Linked DNA regions of Caenorhabditis elegans. The protein of the gene in region 1 purifies or fractionates together with the protein of each later gene. This does not show direct contact. Each region holds a gene or a part of one and is shown in the gene's direction. Other genes may lie near its edges. The genes, in order: gly-3, arr-1, usip-1 and maoc-1.

Region 1 (5,801 bases):
CATTTTCAGATCCAACCAATGACCGTTGCTCAAATGCCGATGTCAGCGTTCCCAGCAAATGCAATTTTCGCTGCAGGACCCACGGACATCTCATTACGGCAACTTTCATTAGACCCGATGCCCGATTATATGTATGCAAAGTTGAAAGACGAATGTGCTCTGCCTGATTCTCAACTGGAAAGTTCTCCTGATTTTGGAGGGTGAGACTTTTTTTTTTGATTTGAAAAAATTTAAGCTAAATATTTGAAAATTTAGATTCTACGCGGCTTTTATCGATGATCGTTGGGAACGTGTTCAGTGTATTCGTGCGAGTAAAATTGGTAGGTATATTTATTTATTATTTTATTTACTGTACCAGGAAATTTTTGAAAAAAAAATTTTCGAAAATTACTGTACCAGTTCTCGACACAACAAATTTTCATTAAATACAAGAGGCTGTGCGCTTTTAAAAAGTACTGTAAATCAAAAGATCTCGTTACTTTGGAATTTTTATAGTTTTTCGTAAAAATGTTTGAAATTACAGTACTCTTTAAGACGCACACATCTTTTCATTCAACATAAATTTGTCGCGTCGAGACCGAATACCGTAACTTTGAAAAAAATTGCAAAAATAGTTTTGTAATATTGAACTGTGATTTTGGAAAAATTTAAATATCCTGTTCAAAATTGCACTTTTGAAAAAGTAAATAAAACAATTGTGAGTTTCTCAGTATATCTGAATTTTTCGCACATTTTTCCCAAAAAAAAAAACAAAACATCTACAATCTTGCTGAGTATTATACCTTTTTTCCTTGAAATGTCCATCTTTTTTTTTCAGACAAACAAGCCTATTGTGTATATCTTCTGGATGTGGGCGCTTTCCAATACGTGCGAAAAGAAGCAATGCGACGTCTCAACTCCACGTCACCATTCAAAAAAATGCTGATGTTCAAGTGTAAAATCGGAGGAATCAAACCAGTTGCTGGAGGAGAAGTTTGGAGCCGCGAGTCACATGAAGCTGTTCGAGAATTCTTTGAAGCAGCATGTGGTGAACCTGTTGTGGTAAGTCATGAAAAGAATACTTTCAAATGCAAATTAATTATTTCAGGTTGAACCAACTCAGCCTGGATGGTCTCAATGGAAACAATTAAATGCTCCAGCTGTTCCAACCTGTGAAGCTCGTTTATCTTGTTGTGGTAGAGATATTGGTGACTGGCTCATCGCGTGTGGTTTGGCTCTTCCAATAAATGCACCAATTCCAAGTCCCAATTCACAGTCACTTCTTACTTTTGTTCCAACACCAATTAATATTGTTGGCAGAAATATTTGAATATTTTCTGATCCGTCTTCATTACAAAGCTTCTAATCAATTTTGTGCTTTATTTTTTTCTAATTTTTGAATATTGTATATTTTCATAATTCCTCAGTTTTGCCGATTAGTAGTCTTTCTCTGAAAATTCAAAAATATTTGCTCAGTTTTCCACTTTTCTCTTCAGTTTTTATTCTTTCTAGTTTCATAATTCTGTGATAATTTCAGTTTTATTGTCTTTTAATTATTTTTGTGCTTCTCGTATATTTTGCTTGTTGGAATAATAATTGTTAAAAAATTTTAAAAAATTTGTTCACGGTTTATTAGTTTTGATATAAAACGTGTTCAAATAGACACGTATTAATATTTTTATTTGAATTTTTAAAACCATTTTTTTGTATTCTCTATCACAAAAGTTATCATGTTTTCAATTTTCCAGTACTATTCAAGAAAATTTAGCCTTGTTAAATAATTTTGATCGGAATTTATCTTCTTTTTTCCCCTGAATTTTTAATCATTCTCTAATTTCAGAGTAATTGAATGCTGAGTGTGGGCGGTGGTCGTTCGGCAGTATGTCGTGCTGTCATTGCCACTTCCATCGTCTGGTTGCTCATTGATGTTGTTATTCTTTTTTACTATCTCGATCCATCCACATCACAACAACAGCCATTTCCGGAGGATAACAGGTATTCTATTAAAATTATTTACATCAACTAATTGTTATCATTTTTAAGAATCTTGAATCGTGCTCGACGGATAGAACCACTACCACCAGCAGCTCAACATGATTCAGATCCAGATGCTCATCCTATTCAACCTGAAAAACAAGAGAAACAAGTTTACCCCGTTGACAAAGAAACTGCAAATCAATTGAGGAAACTTATGGAAAGTGAGCTATTGCAAAATATAAAAATTTATATTTAAACAATTGTGTATTTCAGCTCAAGCATTTGGCCCAGGGTACCATGGACAAGGAGGTACTGGAGTCACAGTTCCAGAAGACAAAAAAACTATAAAAGAGAAGAGATTCTTGGAGAATCAATTCAATGTTGTCGCTTCTGAAATGATTTCAGTTAATAGAACTCTACCGGATTACCGATCAGATGCATGCCGCACGTCTGGAAATAATTTGAAAACTGCTGGAATGCCAAAAACTTCCATTATTATTGTTTTCCATAATGAAGCATGGACAACACTATTGAGAACACTCCATTCGGTTATCAATCGATCGCCACGTCATTTATTGGAAGAAATTATTTTGGTGGACGATAAGTCTGATCGAGATTACTTGGTCAAACCGTTGGATTCCTATATCAAAATGTTCCCAGTAAGTTATATAAGTTGAATTGTAAATTGCGACTTCCGAAATACAGTAACCCTAGTTCTTCGTTAAAGGATGGAGACAAAAAATTTCCATCTCAGGGATAGCCAGAACACAGAAAATTTGAATAATAAAACGAAAATTTTTCGATTTTTCGATATTAGACTTAAACAGACAACCTTTTTTCAGATTCCAATCCACTTGGTTCATCTCGAGAATCGATCCGGTCTAATCCGTGCTCGCTTAACCGGATCTGAAATGGCGAAGGGAAAGATCCTTCTCTTCCTGGATGCACATGTGGAGGTTACCGATGGATGGCTTGAACCACTTGTATCAAGAGTCGCTGAAGACAGAAAACGAGTTGTTGCTCCTATAATTGATGTAATTTCTGATGATACCTTCGAATATGTGACTGCTTCCGAAACAACATGGGGTGGATTTAATTGGCATTTGAACTTCCGATGGTATGCTGTACCGAAGAGAGAATTGAATAGAAGAGGATCAGATAGATCAATGCCTATTCAAACACCAACTATTGCCGGTGGTCTTTTTGCTATTGATAAGCAATTTTTCTATGATATTGGAAGTTATGATGAAGGAATGCAAGTATGGGGTGGAGAAAACTTGGAGATATCATTCCGAGTCTGGATGTGTGGAGGTTCTCTTGAAATTCATCCATGTTCTCGTGTTGGACACGTTTTCCGCAAACAGACTCCATACACTTTCCCAGGTGGAACAGCGAAAGTCATCCATCATAATGCAGCACGTACAGCAGAAGTTTGGATGGACGAATACAAGGCATTCTTCTACAAAATGGTGCCAGCCGCCCGTAACGTTGAAGCTGGAGATGTTAGCGAAAGAAAGAAGTTGCGAGAGACGTTGCAATGTAAATCATTCAAGTGGTATCTGGAGAACATCTATCCAGAAGCACCATTGCCTGCAGATTTCCGATCGCTTGGAGCAATTGTGAATAGATTTACTGAAAAATGTGTTGATACGAACGGAAAGAAAGATGGGCAAGCTCCAGGAATTCAAGCATGTCATGGTGCTGGTGGAAATCAGGTTTGTGCTTTTGATTTGACGTTAAAATACTGTATTACCCAAAAGCGAGATTTTTTGATTTTTGCGGTACTACGGTACCCGGTCTCGACACGACTAACTTTCGTTAAATGCAAAAGGGTACGCCCCTTCAAAGTATACTGTAATTTCAAACTTTTTTTGACGCGGAAACTTCATCAAATTATCATAGAATTTCGATAACGATATATTTGACTGCTTGAAAAACTCAAATAAAACAATCAAAACAGATAACTTTAAAAAAACAATTTGAAATCGGTGAAAATTCCGCGGCACCAAATGTTAAAAACTACAGTATTCTAAAAAGGCGCAAACTTTTTTGGAATTAACTAAAGTTGATCGTGTCGAGACCGAGTACCGTATTTTTGGCGCAAAAATAACTGAATTTCGCTTCTGATAACAAAACAATTAATTTCGTATCTTTGAAATTCCTCTTTACCAAAAACGACAGTACCCTTCCTAAAAACATTAATTCGCGTTATTTTTATTAATGCTTTTTACTAACACTTTCAACTAACAGACTATACAATTTGCTGATGGCCACAAACTACTAATAATATCTGATCAGCGAGATATGAGATATGAACGGGCTCCGTTTCTTGCGAATTATCAGGTTTTGGTGAAGAGAGTGAATTGGGATGGTTTTTATTTTAAGTTTTGGGAAATATTTAAGTTTGGGATTTACCGGTGAAAACTACGTTTCTCTCTCCCCTCTCTATATAACTCGTATTCTAATATTAAACATTAAATAAGTTCCAGGCATGGTCATTGACTGGAAAAGGAGAAATTCGATCGGATGACTTATGTCTTTCATCTGGACATGTATATCAAATAGGATCAGAGCTCAAATTGGAACGTTGCTCCGTGAGCAAAATCAATGTTAAACATGTTTTCGTGTTTGACGATCAGGTAAGAGAACCAGAATTTTACATTTTAAGCTCAGCAAGTAAAGAACATTATCTTAATTCGGAAAATACTTTCTAGTTTATCTATACACTAAAATTTTTTTCCGCTATTTCAGGCCGGTACATTGCTCCACAAGAAAACAGGAAAATGTGTAACAGGCGCCGATCAACGGGTGACACTGGATGAATGTGGTCTCGGACGGAAAGATCAAATGTGGCAATTAGAAGGATATCAGAGCCCTTAGAGCATCTTTTATTTTATTTTTATTCTCATAAAACGTCACAATTTCTTATTTTCTCCCATTATATCCTCCCATTTTCCACATTTTCAGTATTGATTTCAGTCCAAAATTCTCTCTCGGTGTCCATCGTTTTCCTATTTTCCCTCTCAAAATCGTCCATACCACCAGTGCCTTCATATTAGAGTTGCGAGTGCACTCTAACGAGAATTTGTGAGAAAAATTCAACTTTTTCGGCCTATAATAATTGTAATTTATGTAATTGTGATAGCCTTTGAGATTCGAGCATAATTTATTTATTGATCCCCCATTTCCCTTCAAAAATATCCATTTTCATTGCATTTCACTCCATTCTCAATCCATTCCAAAATCGTTTTGGTTGTGAAACTCTATTACTACGTCTCTTTTTTTCCTTTTACGAGTTCAATAATAAGTTGAAATTTAAAAAAAAGTTTATTCTACAAAAGTCAATGTTCAGGTAGCTTTCATAAGAATCGTGACATCTCCTTGTTGAGCACCAGCTTTGAGTGGTCCCCTGAGCATCTGTCTCATCAGCAGGAACTTCAGCATATTGAAGCATGGTTTTTTTATCATCTTTAACCTGTGACCTTCGATGCGAATTGTCTCAAATTTCATTGTTCCTTTTGCCTCGACAAATCCATATACGGGACGAACTCGGTAGTGCTCATTATTTGATGACTTCGCCGAAATATAACATTTGTTCTGTTTCCGTTTCAAGGGGACATGATTTTTTAAAATGGTCTCTCTATGCGACCTGCATTTAGAAAACATTTATGTACAGTTTTTGCAAAAATTGCAGATTTAGGTTTGCAGATGCAGAAAATTGTGAGCAAGACTAATAGATATGTGAATGAGACGAATAAATTGCGACCTACATGTAATATTTTGTACAGTTATCTTCAAGGCGCACAATACAAAACTGATTAGAAAAAATGTAGTGTGCGCGGCGA
Region 2 (5,529 bases), on another chromosome or scaffold:
AAAATTTTAAAGTTGTGTTCAAATGATTAACTGTCATGGTTGGACAAAGAATTGAGCTTTTAACAATTTTTTTAAAAACAAATCACTGCAAGTTGTCTTTCAAAAAGGAAGTTATAAAGAAAATGTTCGATGTAGAAAAGCAATGTCAAAAACAGCTCAATAACAATGCCAAAATCAATAAACAAACCGGTTAAGGTGGTATTGAGCAACAAAAAAAAGAAGCGAGAAAAGTAAAGTTAATAGGCTGTTTTTCGCGTATTCTCTCTTTCTCTCTTTGCCTATTTTTCCAAACAGAGATACAACGAGAGAATGAGAGACGACACAATTGTGACATAGACACACACACATACACAATGAGATATTACAAGGGATAGAGAAGGGAGGAAGAGGGGTTTATGGGTGCATTGGTGGGTGCTCTCTCCCTCTCTTCATCTCACTCTCTGTGCGGTGTCTCAATCCGCCCGATCATCCTCACCGGTTTCGAGAAGGAGGCGTACGCAATGTGTCGTCGTTTGTGGCGCAATTGCGGACGCCCCCGACCGCATCATTTGTTTTCAAATGAGGACTCCTGGCCAAACATACATGCTAATTTTTTGCTCTCCATCTCTCTCTCACTGCACACATTTTTTCGCTTAGACTTGTGGTTTTTGAAAGTTTTAATTAAGAAAAATAACTTGAAAGTACTAGAAAGTTTAGAATGTAAGCTTCAGAACCTAATTAATAACTAATAGCTATATCGATTCATGTCACATTTTTGTTGGCACAGAGAAATTGGAAACCAGATAATAACGAGATTGGGAGTAGGAAAAATTGAAACCTATGTGTACATATGTACAATACCTAAGAAGGTATTCAATTTAACTCAATTAAGATAATTTTAATAACTAATTTTGGTTTTATTATAAGAGTAGCCAGTATGAAAAGGTCAAAACCTCAGCTAAAAGTTAATCTAAATTCATTCAGATCAACTAATCTAGGTATTTTACACCTGTTATTAAGGAGTAAATTATTTTCAAGTTTTATGCCGCTCTCGAAATTAAATCTTATATTCAGCTGTGAAACACTTGCCATATTTTTTGCACTGACCAACATGAGCAGCATTAAAATAGCACTGACCAACTTGAGCATCATTAAAATAGCACTGACCAAGTTTTCAATGTATTAGTCAACTTTTCCGCCACATACAAATTTTACAGTGAACAATAAACATATGAATCTTCGATCTTTTTTTTATTATTATTATTTTCAATAAAAAATAGTTGGAACGTTTTAATAGGTTCAAATGGTTCGCTTCATATTTTAATTAAATTATTTTTATTACGTCAGCAACTGGCAACACAGCTACTGCTATCGACTCCATATCCTTTGTCTTAAATAATTCTTGCTTCCTCCAATTTTATCCTCGAATCCAGAATTCAATTCGTAACGCGTATGATTTATTCAAAGTTTGACGCTTATTCTCGCTACGTTTTTCTCTTTTTCTCTCTTTTTTTTGCCTAGGTGTCATTCATTTCTCAATTTCGTTCACTTTTCAATTTTCAGCTCGATTGCTAGTTTACTAGTCAACAATGGTAGATGAGGACAAAAAATCGGGCACAAGGTTGGTGGAACTGGGAAAATAATTTTTTTTTAACTTTAAACGTATATAAAAAAAGACAAATTTTGCAGAGTGTTCAAAAAGACGAGCCCAAATGGAAAAATAACCACATATCTTGGCAAAAGAGATTTTATCGACCGCGGTGACTATGTCGACTTGATAGGTGAGAATAAGGGCACCGAGCCACAGAATGTGGGCTTTATACTGACTGGTTTATCGCGTGATTTGGTTTAGAGCGTTGATTGGTTTTTTGCGCGTTTTCTGAGTATGGAAGTCGGTTGGCAGAAACCTCGCAAATTTTCTATTCGACGTACAAAATAAGGAAAACGCTTTTATTGGTCATAGCACTGACAAAAAATGTTATAGCACTGACCAAAAATGTTATAGCACTGACAACATAGAAATGAACGCAATTACTGAATAGTGCGACTAAGACGGGAGTAGTCAAAAAATTTTACCCTATTAAGAATTAATTTTAGATGGAATGGTTTTGATCGACGAGGAGTACATCAAAGACAACAGAAAAGTGACAGCCCATCTGCTAGCAGCTTTCCGATATGGCCGAGAAGACCTCGACGTGTTAGGGCTCACATTTCGAAAGGATTTGATATCAGAGACATTCCAAGTGTATCCACAGACTGATAAATCAATTTCTCGACCGTTGTCTAGACTGCAAGAACGGCTGAAGCGAAAACTTGGTGCAAACGCGTTTCCATTTTGGTTTGAGGTTGCGCCAAAAAGTGCAAGTAGTGTTACTCTACAGGTTGGTTTTGTTTTTTTGTGGCCTGTTTTTTCTTATGAATTCAATGTTATGAATTTAGTAGTTAAAGCCTATCAAAATTTCAGCCAGCCCCCGGAGACACCGGCAAGCCATGTGGAGTGGACTACGAGCTGAAAACATTTGTGGCAGTAACTGACGGAAGTAGTGGAGAGAAGCCGAAAAAGAGGTAAGTATTTAGAATAATATATGGATTACAACAACGGAAATTAATTTTTAGCGCACTTAGCAACACTGTCCGTCTTGCCATCAGAAAACTGACCTACGCACCATTTGAATCCCGTCCCCAGCCAATGGTCGATGTATCCAAGTACTTTATGATGTCCTCAGGACTTCTCCATATGGAGGTCTCCCTGGATAAAGAGGTACCTCGAATTATTTTAATTCAATGTTAAGATAAACGTTCAAATTTTAGATGTACTACCACGGCGAGTCGATTTCAGTTAATGTGCACATCCAGAACAACAGCAACAAGACGGTCAAGAAGCTGAAGATTTACATCATTCAAGTTGCTGATATTTGTCTCTTCACAACTGCTTCGTATTCCTGCGAGGTTGCCAGGATTGAGAGCAAGTAAGATTTTTGTTTTACTATAATACATTTGATTCGAAAAAGTAGTACATCAGTTCGCATTCTGCCCTACTAGCGCTACACTACTCTTACAACATTCTAGTTTTCCACAGTTCACTGTCATTTCTAGAACGGAGGTACAGGAGATGCACAATTGATTGTTTCTTGTTCCCATGTAGCAAAATTTGACGTTTTAATACTTCAATTCTCTTCGTATCCCCTAAAAAAAGTTTCAGTAATTTTCATTTTTCTACGCCTCATTTTTTGTACAAAACAATTCATACATAAGTGTCCATCTCTATTTTAATATTCAATTCCTCATTCCACAATCTATTTTTGTCCTCTAATCCAATATTTATTTCAGCGAAGGATTTCCAGTCGGACCAGGCGGCACTCTTTCAAAGGTCTTCGCAGTGTGTCCTCTATTGAGCAACAACAAGGACAAGCGAGGGCTCGCATTGGATGGACAACTCAAGCATGAGGACACTAATTTAGCTTCAAGCACAATGTGAGTATAAAGTCGATAGGAAAGGGAAAGAGAGGGCGCGCAAACATATATATATATCGGGATGCCGAGAGAAGAAAATGGGGGGAAAGGGAAAAGAGAGGGTAAACTTCCGCCATTTCCTTACTCAGAAGGTTCAATTTCCCCCCGTCTCCTTCTACAAACGAATTTCGCCAGTTCTCCATCTACTTAGATACACTTTTTATGTTAAGCAAAAGAGTTCAGGAGAGTGGGGAACGAATTGAGATGTTTAATTGGATAACGTTTTGGAAAGAGGAATGTATGTTTGGAATGCATATCTGCTCACTAATGGAGAACCGGGGGGTTTTTATGAACAAAAAAATTGTCGATTATTTTCAATGGAAATTTCAAAGGATATTCAGAAACAGTTGGATAGGATGTGAGACATTTATTTATCTTTTTTTAATATTTAATTAGCACACTAAAGAACCACTAAGAAATGCTATATGTACATTGAAACGATACTGCATAGTTCAACGAACTATTTACAAGTTGGCTGCCGAGACCAGGCTACCGGCAAATGGGCAATTTATAAGTTACAGAACAAATATATCGTCAATGTTAAGTTTAAGAAAACCAAAAAATCCTTCCAATTTAAAGGATTGATTTGAAAAAGGAAACTAGAAATTTTCTACAATATGTATCAAGCTTGCTTACCATTCGACAATTCAAATTATGATAAATTTTGTTGGTATTCACTAGCCAGGCGATATGCGTGTATATACAAAAAATTTTAGTTCAAAAATGTGTTATAGCATGATTCTTAGTTAACAATTGTACGTCAAAATCCAAGACAACAATGATATGAGTTTGAGCAAAAATATTTTGGCAATCAAATAATTAATTTTTTGCAGATTGGACTCTAAAACATCAAAGGAAAGTCTTGGAATTGTAGTTCAATACAGAGTGAAAGTTCGCGCAGTTCTTGGACCACTAAACGGAGAACTGTTCGCCGAGCTGCCGTTCACATTAACACACTCGAAGCCTCCAGAGAGCCCCGAGAGAACGGTAGGTTTTAATTTTCAAAATAATTTTTTTACGAATCAAATTTTGAATCCATATTATTCAATTTCAGGATCGTGGCCTTCCATCAATCGAAGCAACAAATGGCTCCGAACCAGTCGATATTGATCTCATCCAACTACACGAAGAATTGTAAGTTTTTGATTAGAGTTGAATGATTCAATTTAATACACAATGATTTTTCAGAGAGCCCCGCTACGACGACGATCTAATCTTTGAGGATTTTGCCAGAATGCGTCTCCACGGAAACGATAGTGAAGACCAGCCATCGCCAAGCGCCAACTTGCCGCCAAGCCTTCTATGAATCTGTACAATTTATCACATGATATTGTGTCACTCTGTCATTCAACTTTTCTACGTCTTTTCCACCTTTTCCCCATTTTTCATTGTTTCTTTGTAAGTACATCTTTTTGTCTATGCTTCAAGTCAATTTTTCTGTCAAATTGTCACCTTTTTCGTTTTCTTTCATTTCATTTTTTCTCATATAAATCTATTTTGCCAATTTATTTTTAAAAATCAGATTCAAAGGTTTCAAATAATATTTCAATTGTTGTTGTTAATTATTGGAATGCTATCAGAAACCTTCTATGTAATTTTCAGATTGTGGGTCTGAATTCAACGATAATCTAGAAAAAAAAACTAAAACATCTATAAAAATACAAAAAATCATTTAATTGACTAAATAATATGTGTATGAAATCAATTTACAACTTGAAAAAACTTATGAGAAAATTTGAAAGCAAGTAAGTTGAAGATTTGTTTTTAATTGGCCAGTGCATTCAGAACTTTGATCAGTGCATTCCGAACTTTCGTCAGTTCATTCAGAAGTTTGGTCAGTGCATTCAGAAGTTTGGTCAGTGCATTCAGAAGTTTGGCCCTGGGAATTTTCAAATTCGATTAGTCCATTTTCAAATTCGGTCAGTGCATTTTTCAAATTCGATATGTGCGTTTTCAAATTAGGTCAGTGCATTGTCAAATTCGGTCAGTGCATTGTCAAATTCGGTCAGTGCATCATGTTTCCAAGTGAAACAAAGA
Region 3 (5,094 bases), on another chromosome or scaffold:
ATTCCAACTGCTCTCATGACAGATTCTCGATACGGTTTGATAAAAGTAACGGTAATCAATGGATTGATAACGGGAACCAAAACGGCAAAAAGAAGTGTGAAACTTTCAAGAACTGGAGATTCAACGATCCTCAGCTGACCAAGTAGGAAACAAATTGATGAGAATATAAAAGCAATTGGAACAATAGTCTGAACTGTCAGTGCCTGCAATAAATCATATTTCAAAATAATTTACATTTTCAGACTAACCCAAGTCAGCTGTCTATGTTTTTCTCGAATTTCCGGACGGAGAATTGCATTTCGTAACTTGAAGTGTATTTTTCGGCGGAGCCCATACATAATCAAATATCCAGGGATAATTGGAATAAGCATTAGAAGATATGAAAACAAACACGGAAATTCTCGAAGATCAGCATGTCCATTTATAACAAAATCTTGTAATTTATATTGAGAATGATGAATTTGAATAAGTTGTCGAACATCTTCTGGCTTGTTGTTATCAATGAATACGAAAATTGCTTGCAAGTATGATGGGAAGTATATAATGCAAATTAAAATGATAAGCTGTTTAGCTTTTGGATATCTTTCCAGAAGAACATAACATCGGAATATAAAACAGAGAATTAGAAGATGAAAAGAATATGAATGAAAATGAAGTTGAAGACTGAAACCCAGAAAACAAGACCATTCACTGAGATATTTGCAAAGTCCAGTTGAAGCAATTCCAAGTGTTGTACCACTTGGGATTAATCTGAAATTAATTATATATAGCTCAACTCGCCATTGGAGTATAAAGAAAAAATTTGGGTTCTTTTTTGAAAGTGTAATCTCATGAATTATATATAAGCGTGGAAAACATGAAAACGGCCCTGCTTAATTTTGACATTATTGGAAGAAACTAGAGCATATCGAGAACATGGTGCATTGCTAGGAAATGCAAAATAAAATTTGGAAATTACCTTGATTGACTGAAAATATCAAAAAAACAAGCAAGTGCATCAGATCCACCTCTGACAGTCAATAATATAGAAAATGTTCCAATAGATTTAGGGCTTCTGAATAAAGTTAGAAAAATCAAAATCGTATTGAAAACAATTCCGAGAAAAGCGAGCACATAGTGTAGAATAAATATAACCAAAAGGAACATCTTTGTACATTTTTGATATTTTTACATTTATATACTAAATTCGATTTCCGATTTATGTTATGCTTGTCCTTTTATTCGAATCCCAGCAATCAGAATCGAATTTCCGTTTATTTTTTCGTTTGTAGACGAACTCAATTCCAAATAAAAAATATTATTAATTCAAATTCAATCTTTGAAAGACCGATGTTTATGGAATGATGTTTATAATTTTTAAGCAGGCATAAGTTTTGGTTGATTAGAAGGATTCTGATCAATCAATGCAAATAATTTCTAAGACAATTTTATAAAATTTATTTAATAATTTTTTTTAAAAACAACTTTTTCCCTTTAGAAAGGCAATGCAGAGAAAACTTACTAGACAAATACATACTAGTACTAGGTCCACAACTAAAATTTGTCAATAAAAATTTATTTGAAAATCCGCCACTTACGACACTCCGATATAACGATGCGCGTGTAGTTTATCAACTCAGTTTTTCAGTCATTTTTCGAAAAACTTTTTTATTGCGCGAATCTATTTAAAATTTGTTACTCTTTTTTTATTATTATTCTGATAAACGCAAAATTTAAATCCCTGAATGCGCACGTTCCAATTAATTTGTAACCTATAACAAAATGCAATGTGTTGTTTATTATAATGAAAATTGTTTTGCTCGAATTTTCGACGAAGATTCCCTAGTGTATTCGATTCCATGGCAACGCATGATTCCATTCTCCATCCTCTTTGTTTACCTAAAATTATATATTTTTCCAGATATTTCAGTTATGCGATAATGTCTTCAAACTTGCAACTGGTTGAAACGTTTGATAGTCGTCAATTCGTTGTTGCTCGTTGGAATCGAAATGATACGACAGCTATGGTTCCTTCTGCAATTGCTGTCGTTGTCTTCGTGGAGTCGGTTGAGTATAAACTTGGTTGTAAGGTAAAAAATATTGTTATGCTGTGAAAACAAGCATTTGAAATTAAACCGTTTAGGAGAAAATAGGATACTCTCCAACACCTGAAGATCAAGATCAGTTTATGATATTGCAAATGGAATCAATAGATGAAGCCAACAGGATTTGCCACGATTCCATCGCTAAAGGATTTGCAATCAACAATGTAAATAATTATTTTTAGCTGATTGTATACAATTCCTTTTATTTTCAGACGAAAATCGTGTTCACTCCCCTTCTAGGCTTGAACGGATTCAGACTTCAAGATGCCATTGATTTCATGAAAACTTCGCAACCGCACTTCAATAACGACGAGCTTTTGGAAGTGTTGACAATGGCTATCTGTCAAGAACTTCCTGAACGCTTAAAAATTCTCGAAGATGGATTTTCCTTCATTGAACAAGGGGTTTCTGAGCTCATTCAAAATTCTGCTTGTGAGATGTTCGGCTCTTTTGCATCACCGGTGCGGCGAAATGGTTACTCAGACATTGTAAGTTGTTAGAAAAATAATTTTATTTTATTTTATTAAGAAACAATAATGTTTTTAGGACATTAACGTGGAATCAGTCAGCGCTCCAGGTCAACGCGTTTCTACAAATGTAAGACCATTGAACGAAGTTGTGGCAAATCCAAAGGTACAAAAATTACTGTAAATTGTCCTGAAACAATATACAATTACAGTGTCTCATCACTCATCCACTAACCAAATCGGAGCTTGAGACATACCCACAAGAGGAAATTATCAAAATTCTCTACCGGTGCTTCAACGAGAACAGTGCATTCAAAACTAAATTCGAGATGCGTTTCTTACCTGCACGCACTCCAATCATAGTCTTCAAAAATATCGAAGTGGAAGGAATGAATGTATGTTGACGCTTTCAAACATTGATAATTCATTCATTTCAGGTGTCATACGATCTATCAGTTCACAATCAAATCAGTGTTGAGAAGGCGAGCTTGTTGCATGAATTCATCGTAAAAGACAAGTCGAAGGGAAGTAGAATGAAAAATGCAATGATGTTCATCGTACACTGGGCAAAATCAAATAAGTTGCTATCGGGTGACTATCCGGTAATTATATATTGAATTAGGCAGTTCTTAAACTTCATTATTTTAGGAAGAGAAGCTTGAAGTCAAGACAAAGCTGAACTCTTACATCATCAATCAGCTCGTTATTCATTTTGTTCAAGCAGCAACCAACAAGGTTCATGTGAATCCTCAAGCAAAGCGAGATTCTCGAGTCAATGAATACAACTTTGACACTCTGTTCGGCGATTATTGCAAGTTTTTCCGAGAGCTTTTCAAATACTATGCCAACTTTGATTTTACGAACAAAGCGATTTACGGGAAGAAAGCGATGCAAAAGTAAGTTAAAAACTAATTTCTCACAACTAATTTGTATATTTTTTTTTAGAAAAACACTCTCAAGTGCGCACGGAGGCGTTGAAGAATCTCCGTTGATGTTGATGGATCCCATGGATATTACTCATAATATTTCGGCAAAAGTAACAGAAGACGCGGTCAAACTACTAAATGGTCTTATTCGGAACGCTCTTTTCATTGTAAGCATTATTTTGATTGTTTATGGATTAAAAGTTATATTTTCAGTTGAAACAAAATCATTTTCACATCAACTATCTTCTGGAAACCAACACGATGGCTACTATGCTTATGAAGAGCAGAGAGCCAAAAATCAGTATATCAACTAGAGTAACTGATGGAGCCGAGCACCAGTACTTGTCAGTACAACTTCCAGCCGTGGTGATAACCTCGAGTGATCTTTTCCTCCTTCTTACTAGAGTTCTTCGCTTTAATGTCTGTCCGAATGAGCAAGGACCCAGTGTTGTTGATTTATGTACTCCAACGGTTAGTTCTATAGAATAGAAAGAATGTGACGTTTACAACTACTATTAATTTCAGGGTGCCATTTTCCTTGTAACTTCAAGAGCTTGGGTTGGACGTCGCAATACGAAACGCGCTTTGAAAAACTCTCGTCACGATTTGACGCCTCTCCAGATTGATGTTATGTGCAGTGACAAGTACGATTACGAAGAAGATATTGCGGAGTTGCGTATCTCGATGAGCACTGTTCCTGGCACCAGAATTAGGTTGGCATGCATCGATATAATGCGTGGTCAAGTTTCCGAAGTTCGCGACGCAATCCACTTTTTGATTGATCAATTCATTAACAATAACTACGATGACCTCGAGAAGAATGGCGTTCAAACCATTTCCAGGATTCCAATTGCAGCCCCAACTTGGCCATAATCATGTTCTCAATGTATAAGTGTTCTATGAATTCGATTTGTATGTATGATCCACCATATATTTTATTTCATATTTATTCCGGTATTTTTCTGACACGTCACCCAGTGACCATTTTCCATTGAATCTCAACAAATAATTTTTCCGCTTTATTATATTCAACACCCAACTTTCATGATCACTTCTCGGTCTGTGTTCTATTTATGTATATCGAAATTTCTAAGTTTGAAATACACTGGTCATCTTGAAAGCGATTTTTGAGTTCATTGTCGGTTAATATTCCAATTTATATCTAAAACATCAATTTGAATAGGAAATGTATCAAAACTGTATTCAGATGGATCAGAAGGGTTCACAAAGAGCACTACTGGCACAAACAATAAATGAAATTGTCAAGCTTCTTATTGAAGCTCACAATCAAAAAAAGGATGTCAACTTGAATCGGCTGAAATGCATCGTATGTGGTTAGGCGGTAAAACACATTTCAATAAATATTTTCAGGTTGCTCAAAAGAATGGACTGAGTTTTCAACCGAAACTCGTTGACATTATCGCTGGAGTTCCGTCCGATTACAAAGACAGCCTTCTTCCAAAACTCAAGGCAAAACCAGTTCGAACTGCTTCTGGAATTGCTGTTGTAGCAGTGATGAGCAAACCACATCGTTGTCCTCACATCAATTTCACTGGAAACATTTGTGTCTATTGTCCCGGTGGGCCAGATTCTGATTTCGAGTATTCAACACAAAGT
Region 4 (3,520 bases), on another chromosome or scaffold:
TCCAAGAGTTTCTTTCTGTTCGTCAGTCATATTCAGAGGATACGGAAACACCTGGAAATTGGCAGTTTGAACAGGTCCTGCTAAAATTCTCAAATACCTGGTCAGTCACAGCTTTCCCTCTGAAAAGATTCATGACAAATGATGGACTGTCCACTGCAGCGACCTTCTTCGGTTTTGCATCTTTTGCAGCAGCAGCAGAATGCGAAAGACGAATGAATCGTGTTTGGTTGAGCCGTGCAGATTTACTCAGCGTTGACAGCATCGTTTCTCTGGAAGAAAAAACCAATAATATAGGTTTCAATCAGTGAATCAGTAGGGGGTAAATAGCGATGACGGAGATAAAGAGTGAAGAAAACAACTTGGGGGTCGAACGGTGGATAGAGCAGAGACGCAGCATGTGAGAGAACATAGAACACAGACATAACAATACTTTTTTACACTGAACGTCCAAGAGCAATCAAAATAAATAGAATTCAGAATAAGTTTTATAGAAAAGTATTTAGCATTTTATATGAACGCAAAAAAGAACGAATAGGTTTTTTGCTTTTTTTGGATTACATAAAAGAGTGTTTCATAAAATAAGAAGTTTAAAAGTTAACTAAAAATAACTGGAAACATGGTTTGCTCAGTATTTTTCGTAAATTTTCCATAATAAACTGATTAATCGCCAACATACACAAACGATGGAGAGGAAACGTGGAGGACGGTCATTGTTATCTCTTGTAGACTTTGCCCTATGTACTTTGAACGGCCCTGGCTACGCACTAGTGAAAAGACAATGTGATAAAATACACTTTAGCGCAGGTTCGATGAAATTTTCAAGAAAAACATGATTTTATAGCTCTACGGGTCACCTCATGGTACTGAAAAATTCGTATGAACACTTGTTGTCTTATATTTTATCTTTAACGGCCACAAAATAAATTAAAATAGAAAAAAAACGACAATTACAGAAGTTTTCTGCATCGTACTCTGAAAGAAAAATGAATCCGCAATCTGTCGTCACGGTGTTACGGTGGTGTGTTCACACCGTCGGCACTATATTTGACGGCTCATGTTTTAATGTTTTTTACATCTGAATAAATCTGTACATTATAGAAACGAACCGTATGGAATTTGGAATTCTTTCAATGTACGAAAGTGAACGAGTGAAAATATAAACTAATTTAGCGAATGCACAAGTTTGAAAACGTGTGAATTTTTCGGAAGGCTTTTACGCGAAAAAATAAGCTTTATTTTTTTAATTAAAGAAAGAGAAATGGTTCGTAGAATGGATACTGTAATTTAGCTATTTAACAGTCGACAAACAATCCTTGGTTGTTTAAATATCGGAAAAAATAAATCGACCTTCCATGTTAATTTTATTGAACAGACGACAAGGCGTCATAGGTATTTGATGAATGTTTCTGAATTAAGAGAAATCTGAAACTGGTCTATTAATTTTTGTGCGTGCTTCGCTTCAAAATTCAAAACGAAGGAAATTTATTCGATCATTTTCTATAAGTTGAAACCCAAATACTATAGTATACTATGAACACGTTGTACATCTCTCCCGACAAAAGTCTAGTTTTTATATATTTTTTAATTGAAATTTAAAGCCTTGTATACTTTTTTTGCAAATTATTTAAAACATCTAATAATTATCAGTATGTGGTAATAATTCTTTTAGTGCTTATTTTTAAAAAAAAACTATTGATTTCACCCTCGTTATGTAGTCTGCAGCGTAGTCTTATCAACACATGGGGTCAAGACTACACTGTACCGATTCCTTGTTAGGTATTGGCATTTTCTATTTCATTATTTGGTTTTTGTTTCTTCTCCGACAAATACTTAAAAATGGATAAGAAAACTGCTTGCGCACATGTGGCAGAGCCATGCGAGTTCTCATATTCTACCAGAGATGCTATTATTTATGCTCTTGGAGGTAATTTTTTCTAAGACCTTTTGAATAGTGATTAATAATTTCATTTAGTTGGTGCTCGAGCGAAAGAAGATTTGTGCTACGTTTATGAGAACCATGAAGACTTTAAAGTGCTTCCATCGTACATTGTTGCTCCAGGATTTCAAGCTCACACTTTGATGGATTGGCCAGGAGTTGAATTTGATCTTCAGAGGTTTTTCTTATAAGATTTCTTGAAAACACATGTTTAATCATTTTAGAGTTCTTCACGGAGAACAATATATTGAAGTCTATCAACCACTTTCAGCAGAAGGAAAATTGAAATCTGAAGCTAGAGTCGTTGATATTCTTGACAAAGGATCCGGTGCTTTGATTCTTGGAAATGTTACCACTTATGATGAAAATGGAAAGAAGATTGCAATGCAACAATTCAGTACTTTTCAAACCGGTTCTGGTAACTTCGGAGGGGATCGTACATCACCTCATGAAATAAAAGCTGCCACTGTCCCAGATAGAGCTCCAGATGCAGTTATTGAACAAAAGACAACAGTTGATCAAGCTGCTCTTTATCGTTTGGGATCAGGAGATATGAATCCTCTTCACGTTGATCCAGAGTTTGCTAAGATGTCTGGATTCAAAACTCCAATTCTTCATGGATTGTGCAGTCTGGGATTTGCGACACGCCATGTTATCGCTGCTTGGGCTGGAAATGATTCTGACAAATTCAAAGCAATCAAGGTAGGTTTGATTAAATTTAACTTTAAAATATTTTCTGCTGATTCAAAAATCATTAATTTTCAGGTTCGATTCTCATCGCCAGTGCTTCCAGGACAAACATTGGTTACTGAAACCTGGAAGAATGGAAAACGAATTATTTTCCAAATGAAGGTTAAGGAAACTGGAAAAATTGTAATTTCCAACGCCTTTATTGACTTGCACGAGGCTTCCGAACTTCCAACAGTTCCAATTGATCTTGCATCAAAATTGTAAAAATTTAAAGAATTATTTATTCACTGGTAAGATTAAGTAGATCGTATTAGTTTTATCGTATTTTGTTTCCTGAATATCATATGTGAATAAACCGTTTTTTTCTTTTTCCACAAATTCTCTTGAAGATTATTATTTCCTTTTCTTCTTCCCAACAATATCATTGACTCCTGGGAATGTTACACCAACACCTGTATTCACCCCAACACCAGCCATCGGAACACCAACTCCAAAGTTTGTACCAACTTGACCATTTAGATAATCAACTCCAACGTGTTGATTCTGTTGATAATAAGGTCCAACTCCACCTCCAACATCTACGCCAATTGGTTTTCCAGCCTCTCCAGGTTTAAGGGGAACACTCACCTGAAATATTTTGATAGGAACTTATTCAACTTGTCACACACCGCTTCAAATATTAAAAAATGTACGCAATGCTTCTCTAAACTCGAATTCAAATTATGAACCGCCAAATTTGAAAAAGTTCGAGTAATAAATTTTCTGCATTAAAAAAACTCACAACAGCATGTGTGTCTCCTTCAATACCAAGTGATTGTACAAGTGGAACACTCCATCCAGACTTATATCCATATTTTCCTTCATACCAATTTGCTCCGATTTCTTGATATTGTG

What was found.
Region 2: the proteins of gly-3 (region 1) and arr-1 fractionate together in Caenorhabditis elegans (co-fractionation; one large-scale study listed by BioGRID). This does not show direct contact.
Region 3: the proteins of gly-3 (region 1) and usip-1 fractionate together in Caenorhabditis elegans (co-fractionation; one large-scale study listed by BioGRID). This does not show direct contact.
Region 4: the proteins of gly-3 (region 1) and maoc-1 fractionate together in Caenorhabditis elegans (co-fractionation; one large-scale study listed by BioGRID). This does not show direct contact.

The regions. Positions count from the first base shown.
Region 1 is NC_003281.10:7,913,786-7,919,586, reverse strand, and holds gly-3 (Polypeptide N-acetylgalactosaminyltransferase 3), read left to right. Parts: upstream 1-1,819; 5' UTR 1,820-1,828; coding exon 1,829-1,974; intron 1,975-2,022; coding exon 2,023-2,177; intron 2,178-2,229; coding exon 2,230-2,615; intron 2,616-2,798; coding exon 2,799-3,671; intron 3,672-4,445; coding exon 4,446-4,595; intron 4,596-4,707; coding exon 4,708-4,836; 3' UTR 4,837-5,276; downstream 5,277-5,801. Other genes in the region: Putative protein tag-250, read left to right, coding at 10-200, 256-320, 818-1,041, 1,088-1,309.
Region 2 is NC_003284.9:949,240-954,768, forward strand, and holds arr-1 (Beta-arrestin arr-1), read left to right. Parts: upstream 1-1,542; 5' UTR 1,543-1,568; coding exon 1,569-1,600; intron 1,601-1,668; coding exon 1,669-1,760; intron 1,761-2,076; coding exon 2,077-2,360; intron 2,361-2,443; coding exon 2,444-2,544; intron 2,545-2,595; coding exon 2,596-2,740; intron 2,741-2,790; coding exon 2,791-2,948; intron 2,949-3,309; coding exon 3,310-3,453; intron 3,454-4,325; coding exon 4,326-4,479; intron 4,480-4,546; coding exon 4,547-4,626; intron 4,627-4,680; coding exon 4,681-4,798; 3' UTR 4,799-4,994; downstream 4,995-5,529. UniProt on the Caenorhabditis elegans protein: Adapter protein required for olfactory adaptation and recovery to volatile odorants, probably by desensitization of G-protein coupled receptors (GPCR). May play a role in clathrin-mediated GPCR endocytosis.
Region 3 is NC_003283.11:12,181,001-12,186,094, reverse strand, and holds usip-1 (U6 snRNA-specific terminal uridylyltransferase), read left to right. Parts: upstream 1-1,900; 5' UTR 1,901-1,919; coding exon 1,920-2,069; intron 2,070-2,122; coding exon 2,123-2,248; intron 2,249-2,296; coding exon 2,297-2,572; intron 2,573-2,630; coding exon 2,631-2,717; intron 2,718-2,763; coding exon 2,764-2,946; intron 2,947-2,988; coding exon 2,989-3,153; intron 3,154-3,199; coding exon 3,200-3,447; intron 3,448-3,496; coding exon 3,497-3,644; intron 3,645-3,690; coding exon 3,691-3,948; intron 3,949-4,002; coding exon 4,003-4,350; 3' UTR 4,351-4,594; downstream 4,595-5,094. Other genes in the region: srd-4 (G protein-coupled receptor), read right to left, coding at 1-203, 249-750, 959-1,146; elpc-3 (Elongator complex protein 3), read left to right, coding at 4,685-4,804, 4,849-5,094. UniProt on the Caenorhabditis elegans protein: Acts as a specific terminal uridylyltransferase for U6 snRNA. Responsible for the addition of UTP at the 3' end of U6 snRNA which stabilizes U6 snRNA. Does not have activity towards modified uridine containing 3'-monophosphorylation or 2'-O-methylation.
Region 4 is NC_003280.10:7,194,502-7,198,021, forward strand, and holds maoc-1 (MaoC-like domain-containing protein), read left to right. Parts: upstream 1-1,774; 5' UTR 1,775-1,836; coding exon 1,837-1,924; intron 1,925-1,972; coding exon 1,973-2,114; intron 2,115-2,160; coding exon 2,161-2,638; intron 2,639-2,701; coding exon 2,702-2,890; 3' UTR 2,891-2,994; downstream 2,995-3,520. Other genes in the region: acdh-12 (Very long-chain specific acyl-CoA dehydrogenase, mitochondrial), read right to left, coding at 1-51, 98-262; E04F6.6 (uncharacterized protein), read right to left, coding at 3,020-3,253, 3,408-3,520.